Mus musculus: one gene and its partner. The protein of the gene in region 2 interacts with the protein of the main gene of each other region in a pairwise test. Links are inferred from orthologs where the notes say so. Each region holds a gene or a part of one and is shown on either strand. Other genes may lie near its edges. The genes, in order: Bicdl2 and Klc3.

Region 1 (3,122 bases), on a different chromosome or scaffold from region 2:
GAAGGCCAAGGCCAGAACTCAGGACAGAAAAGTCTGGGGCTGTGGACTCGGTGGAAAGGAGTGAAAAAGAAGGATAGTCTGAATTCAGATAGCTTGGCTTCTTAGCCACACCCTGCCTCAGTTTCCCCAATGGGGTGGTATCATACACCTCAAAGGACTGTGGTGAGACTGTAGGACTCAGGAGAATCAATAAATGCTAGATCAAAGCATTTAGTGAATTAGAAGGAAGACTGCACAGGGGAGGGGACCTACTCTGTGAGATGACCTGATGAAGCCAGACCTGGGCAGAGGACGATGCCAGGCACGCCCTGCTTTATAGTTGAGGAAATTGGTGCCTGCAAAAGGGAGGTGTGTGTTCTAGGTAACTGTGATTCAGGAGAGAGAGCAGGCCTGCTCCACCGGGGTGCAGACCCGGGCATAGCCCTCGGGCGCCCCGTGGGCCCACCGCAGAGGGCCAGCTTCCTGCTGACAGCTGGACGGATCTGTATGACCTGCAGCTGGAACGCGCCCGCTTCGAGGCTGGAGAGGCGCTGAGAACGCTGAGGGGGCTGCAGCGGCGGGTGTCAGAGCTGGAGGAGGAGTCGCGACTCCAAGACACCGAGATATCGGGCGCCTCCCTGCAGACCGAGCTCGCCCACAGCCTTGACAGTGACCAAGACCAAGACCAGCAAGTCAATGAATGTGGAGGCTCTCAGGTGAGCTTGCAGCCTACCAGCCCCACATTCAAATCATTTATGAAGGATGCAGGCTCTACTCCTCCTTTTCCCAGAGGTAACATACATCACTGACCAATTCCTTTGACAAACAGGCCATATTGTCCCCTGAGACTCAAGAGACATCCAGTCCCCAGCCTTCAATACAGGAAGAGATCTTGGAGCCACCTAAGAAACGAGCATCCCTGAGCCCAGTGGAAATACTGGAGGAGAAGGAGGCAGAAGTGGCCAGGCTGCAGGATGAGGTGGGAGAGCATGGTACTGCACACAAAGCCCCCAGGTGTCCACTTCTTTGCCATCTCCACTGTCAAGCCCCCTCCTCCATGAACTTGTAGTCTACCTGAGCTAGTCTGTACCCCCTGGAAGCCTCAGGGGCTCTACTGCTCCCTAAACTTCTCCCTGCATCCGTCCTGTTGAAGGCTAGCCCTACCTCTTCTTTACTACGCCACCTGATTCAAAGGATTCACTCTGAGTTTGAACACAGGCTGAGTTGCCTGCGGTGTTTATAGAGCAGTCCCAGGTTGTGGGAGGGCAGGTTGTCCTCCAAGGCTTTTGTACCAGTCTGCTCTCTTCCTGGCCTGTAGATCACGCTACACCGTACAGAGCTACAGACGCTGCGGGATGAGCTGCAGAGACAAAAGGAGCTGAGAGCGCAGGACAATCCAGAGGAAGCCCTGAGCAGTGCGCTCTCTGACCGGGACGAAGCAGTGAACAAGTGAGCCTGGCATTCTCTTCTCCCCTGTTGCCTCGGGAGGGGCTTATACTCTATCTGGTCCTTCTGGGTCCCTGATTTCCATCACCCTGACAGGAGTATAGCCTTCATTTTGACTCAGAAGCTTCAGCCCCGCCCCCACCCCCCTTTTACCAAGGTCCAGGAGGCCCCAGCACCCCCCGGACCAAGTTCTCTATCCCTTTGATTCTCAGGGCCATGAAGCTGTCACTGGAGCTCAGTCGTGTCTCCCTAGAGCGGGACTCTCTGTCCCGGGAGCTGCTGCGCGCCATCCGCCAGAAGGTGGCACTGACGCAGGAGCTCGAGGCTTGGCAGGTAAGAGAGGGCAGACCCTGAGGAGGACTGGTGGACAGGTATCCTGACCTCATCCCACCCCCATACCCACCCTGCTTTGCCTCCTACCTTCAGGACGACATGCAGGTAGTGATTGGACAGCAGCTGCGCTCCCAGCGCCAGAAAGAGCTCAGTGAGGCTGCAGCCGCCCCAAGACGTGCGAAGACCCGCTTTTCACTGCGCCTGGGATCCGGGCAGAGTGGAGGCTTTCTGAGCAACCTCTTCCGAAGGACCTGAGGGTTGGGGGCCAGGGCTACCTTTTCTCACTCTGGAGCTCAATTTCCTAACAGCCAATGGAGCCGTGGGGTCTAAAATGACTTCCAAGGGAAGTCTTCCATGCCCCAAGAGGTGGACAGAGGCACTTTGGGTGCAGGGGCCAGCTTTGGGGCAGGTGCCCCAGGTGGGTGGCGGGGGCAGAGCTGTTTATTTTTTGAATCTAAATAGATCTATCTTTTCTAAGCGCCAGGTCCTGCCCCATCTGTGCGAGAGGGGTGGGGATGGGTATTTATGTGTAAGGATAAGTCAGAGCTATATATATAAATCACTATACTTAATTGGTCTCCATTTTTGGGGAATAAAATGCAAACAAGAAAAGCCTAAAATTTTATTTTGACAGGACAACAAAAGCTGAATGTAACGGTTCACCAAGCTAAATCTCATACAGGAGTTTGAGATCAAGCTAAGCCAAATGAGTTCCAGGCCAGCCTGAGCTAAAGTTTAAAACCCCTATCCCAAAACACAAGCATCACTCTAGCTCCTGAAATACAGGGTCATGATGTCAAAAGGACAAAGAGAAGGCTCGGTAGCCCAGGTTGGTAAAGACATCTACTCGACAGCTGTTGCCCGATGCAGTCAGGACCTAAAGGCAAAGAAGACAAAGAAGACATACCTGGCTAAGTCGCCCATCTACAGGCCTGGAGAGACCCCCATGGCCATTCCAAGACCCACCTTGCACTCTGGGGCTGCTGGCTGCTGGTTGAGGCTCAGGCTGAGCAGCCCTGGGGAGGAGCCAGGCACCTGGGCCTTAAGCTCCCCGCTCAGTTGCCAGTGATTGACACAACAGCCCTGGCCAGCAGACAGGATCTGTGGAGGACAAAGAGGAGGTGCAGGGGTCAGGTCTAGGTGGGGGCACTGGATAGTGGGACAGGATCAAGACAGGGGGTCTCACCAGATCCTGGTAGAAGGTGACGTGCTTCTGTGGTGCTCGAATAGGAAAGACGGTAGTGGGTGTGGAAGACCTGAGGTGCCAGAGGGTGAGGGCTGGGCCCCCTCCACAGACCTGAACAGAGAGGTGGCAGGCTCCGGTCACTGTGAGCCATGGACCTTCAGTGGCCACTCTCACCCGA
Region 2 (4,291 bases):
AAATAAAAATAAATCTTAGCAAATGGTGGTGGTGCACCTTGAACCCTAGCACTTGGAAGGTGCGTTTCTCTGAGTTCAAGGCCAGCCTGGACTACAGAACAAGTTTCAGGACTGCCAGAGCTACACAGAAAAATTCTGTCTCAATACTAGGGACATAGATAGCCAAACAGTGCCAAGGCCCTGGAGTCCATCCCTATTACCATAAGAAAAAAAAAGTTGATGGATGGGCATGTGGTACCAACCTGAGATCAGAAGATCAGGGCTCAAAGCCATCCTTGGCTAAACCTTCCTGTGCTACCTCAAGTGCTGGTTACAGGCAGACAGCACTGTTTGGGGACTTGTTTATTGTTTGTTTGGTTTCCAACACAGGGTTTCTCTGTGTAGCCCTGGCTGTCCTGGAACTCACTCTGTAGATCAGGCTAGCCTCAAACTCAGAGATCTGCCTGCCTCTTCCTCCTGAGTGCGCCACTTCTGCTGGGTTTAATACATGTAATTTTTAAAGAGATAATCCTCCATTACACAGTGAGTTCAGTGCCCACCCCACCCCACCCCACTTCCTTTGGTGATCTTGGGGCTGCCTGAAGTAGCATTTTCTAAGTCTCAGCGTAACATGTGGAGGCATGTGAGGTGCTCCTTCAGCAGTCTAGCCCAGAAAGAGACCCAACCTCAAACTCAGATATACAGTTTCTACTTTGTGAGTATCATTTTCAAAGGCTTTAAAGTCAAAATCTTAACTCAGATGGTCTTATTGGGTACCGCCAGGTTATGACTCAACCTCTGGAGGGGCATAGTGGCCCACACCTTTAAGCCCAGCATTCAGGAGGCAGAGGCAGGAGGAGTTCCATGAGTCCAAGGCCAGCCTGATCTACAGAGTGAACTCTGTCTAAAAATAAAATAAAATAAAATAAAATAAAATAAAATAAAATTTCAGGAGCAGGACCGGATCGAGCAGGAATGGGAAAAAACATTTTGGGGCTGGAGAGATGGCTCAGCAGTTAAGAGCACTGACTGCCCTTCCAGAGGTCCTGAGTTCAATTCCCAGCAACCACATAGTGGCTCACAACCACCTGGAATGAGATCTAATACCCTTTTCTGGAGTGTCTGAAGACAGCTACAGTTTATTTACATATAATAAATCTTTGAAGAAAGAAATAACATTTCAACTTCTCCCCAGATGTGGAGTCTCACACCTGTAATCCCAATACAGAAATGGGAGGATCAGGTGTTCAGGTCACTTCATCTCTACAAACAAAACCAAAATACCATACCATATACGAGGCACGTGAGTAAGATCACCGGTGAGCGCGTGTAGAACCTGGGTAGGCTCAACCTCACACACCCTGTAAGTAGTCAGTCTCACACAAGCTCAGGGTGAGCCATCCTGACTCTGCCCCAGTGTGGCCAGGATCACCACCGCCCTCCCCACCGCACAATCTCAGACCCAAGGGGCCATGCTCCATATGCAGCTTCCCACAGCTCAGCCGCAGCCATCTGCCACTCGAGCTGTCCCCGGCACTCACAGGAGCCCCAAGAGAGCTTCACTAGTCCACAGCAGGCTTGCCCCACACTCACGTGTGTGCACGTATACACACACACACACCTAAGTAAACCTCAGCTTGCAGACACAGTCACCCACATACCCACACACAGCCAACAGTTAGTCAGTGACAGTCACATATCACTGACACAATTCCACACACTCCACCCCCACTGCCACGCAACACCTAGATCCAACCCCATTCCCTGCCACACATGGCCATCTGTGTGAATCAACCACAAGTATACAGTTGACCCAGTATCTCAGTCACACATGCTCAGTGCTATGCACAGTCCGCATGTAACACACACACACACACACACACAGGAGACAGACAAGATCATCCACATTCACTCTGTCCCCATCACTGAGTAACATGGTAGCTCATTTCTTTTACACTCTTACCCACAATGTGACTCTTTCTTACTTTTAAAATATATATAATTTTATATATACATATGTATGTGTATATATATGTTGATACAGATTTTCTCTAATATATATACATATGTATGAATATGTATACATTGACACAGAATTTCTCTGTGTAGCCCTGGCTGTCTTCAGAGATCCGCCTGTCTCTGCCTCCCGAGTGCTGGGATTATAGGTGTGCATCATGATGCCTGGTCCCTAGTCAACTTTTTTCCCTTTATGTACTTATTGTGTGTGCAGAGGCACATGGATTGCCAAGAGAACAACTTGCAACTTAAGGGAGGAGTCCTTTCTCTCCTCCCACCTTTCGGATCCTGTGGATCAAACTTGAGAAATAGACAGTTTGGCATCAACACCTTTACTCTCCTTGCTGGCCCACGTTCCTTTTCTTTTTCTCCCTCCCTTTGGCATCTGTACCCACATCCGCCCTCCTTCTGTCTCTCTCCCTTGAGTACGAAGCCCAGGCTCGCTCGCCTCCAACTCCGCTCCTCCCGCCTCAGTTTCCACAGTGCGCCCTGCCTTACTCTCCCTCTCTTTGCACACCTCGCGCAGGCTCCCTTACCATGCATGTCTTGCACCCTCAGGCTGCAGCGGGGGACCCTCCGACAGCCGGCCAGCCCCTCCCCGCGGCCGCGGAGACCCTGCACCGGACTTCGCGTCACAAGGCCCCGCCCCGCCCGCAGCTGTTTTTCTACTCCGCTAGGGGCCGGGCGGGGCTCCGCGGGGACCCCGAGGCTCATCCCGGCCACCAGGTCCCTGGCTCCCTCCCTCCATCCCTGCGGCCCCCTCGGGAATCCCGAAGCAGCCGCCGCCGTCCCCCGTGCCCACCTGACGGCCGCCCGCCCGAGCCGCCTCGCTGCGCGGAGACCGGGCTGCTCCCGCTGCGCGGCCGCCGCCTTCCCGGAGGCTCCTGAGGGAGGTGGGGCAGGGCAAAGCCACGCCCCCGCAGGTGCGCAGGCCGCGCCCTCCGCCAGCACACATTGAGAAACCTGTGGTCTAGAGGCGGGGCGGGGCCGATGGAGGCAACGCACGCCCCCGCAGGCGCCCAGGCCACGCCCTCTGCCGCAGCATTCGGTGAAACCTGCGTTCCGAGAACTTCTGAAAACTTTATCTGGGGGCCTTCGAGAAGGCTCAGACAGTAAGGGTGCATGCTGCCAATCCTGAGGAGCTGAGTTCGATCCCTGAGACCTTCAGGGTGGACAGAGACGGACTCCCACATGTTGTTTTCTGACTTCTACATGTGTCCAGTCATACATACACAAATATGGAATAAACAGATGGCTCATCAGGTAAGAGTGCTGGCTGCTTTTGCAGAGGACCCAGGTTCGATTTCCAGAACCCACATGTCGGCTCAAAATCATCTGTAATTCCAGTTCCAGGGAGATCCAGCACTTTCTTCCAGGGCCTCCACAGACACACATAAAATAAAGATAAAAATCTCCAAAAAATATTGTTTTAATAATTACAACCTGAAGACCTTGCACAACTATTCCTGGCTGAGAAGATGGTAAGGGCGCTAGCTGCCAAGCTTGACAGCCTGAGTTTCATCTCCAAGAACCATGAAAACTGACTCCTGGGAATTATTCCGGAGTTGGTCAAGGAGAGCCTGGATGGATTCACATGCATGGATGGAACGTGGGCACCCACACACGTGCATTTGTGTATACATACGGACACATAAGTAAGAGGGGTTTTCTTTATTTTAAAGATTTATATTACTGTGCATTGGTGTTCTGCCTGTAGATCTGGGTGAGGGCATCAGATCCTCTGGAACTGGAGTTACAGACAATTGTGAGCCACCATGTGGGTGCTGGGAATTGAACTTGGGTCTTCTGGAAGACCTGAATTGATTAACATGAGCTAACAGTAGTGTGTGCACTGCTGGGAGTGGTACCCAGAGCCCTGTGAATACAAGGAAAAAGCATCTACTATTTAGCTCTCCCTGCCATATATATATTTATAGATATAGATATAGATGTGTGTGTGTGTGTTGATTTTATTAATTCTCTCTGCCCTCCTTTTCTGAGGCAGGGTCTCACTTAATTCTGAAAATACAGCCACTGTACCCTAGTTACCTTTATTTTATTGAGGGGGGATAGAGTCTCCCTATAAAGCTCAGCTGGGCTCAAACTTACAGTCCTGCCTCAGCCTCCTGAATAGCTCCCATGCTGCAGTATCTAAGAATCTCTTAATGTAGGCTCCTGGGTCTTTAATATTCTACAACGCGTGCCCTGTGTCTCTCTGGTCGTCTTCAAGGTCAAGACTGTAGAGTGGCATGATGCAGATGCGCAAAAAGTATTTACAGGATGAACGAAGCAAATT

What was found.
Region 1: the proteins of Klc3 (region 2) and Bicdl2 interact in binary tests that used the Homo sapiens proteins (3 or more experiments, as listed by UniProt). The two-hybrid records come from large-scale screens. The link is inferred for Mus musculus from reciprocal best matches to the Homo sapiens genes KLC3 and BICDL2.

The regions. Positions count from the first base shown.
Region 1 is NC_000083.6:23,666,252-23,669,373, forward strand, and holds the end of Bicdl2 (BICD family-like cargo adapter 2), read left to right. Parts: intron 1-497; coding exon 498-695; intron 696-808; coding exon 809-958; intron 959-1,297; coding exon 1,298-1,428; intron 1,429-1,637; coding exon 1,638-1,758; intron 1,759-1,851; coding exon 1,852-2,013; 3' UTR 2,014-2,370; downstream 2,371-3,122. Other genes in the region: Thoc6 (THO complex subunit 6 homolog), read right to left, coding at 2,555-2,635, 2,725-2,859, 2,945-3,055.
Region 2 is NC_000073.6:19,401,224-19,405,514, forward strand, and holds the start of Klc3 (kinesin light chain 3), read right to left. Parts: upstream 2,882-4,291; 5' UTR 2,798-2,881; intron 2,629-2,797; exon of another isoform or gene 2,539-2,628; coding exon of another isoform or gene 2,532-2,538; intron 1-2,531. UniProt on the Homo sapiens protein: Kinesin is a microtubule-associated force-producing protein that may play a role in organelle transport. Plays a role during spermiogenesis in the development of the sperm tail midpiece and in the normal function of spermatozoa.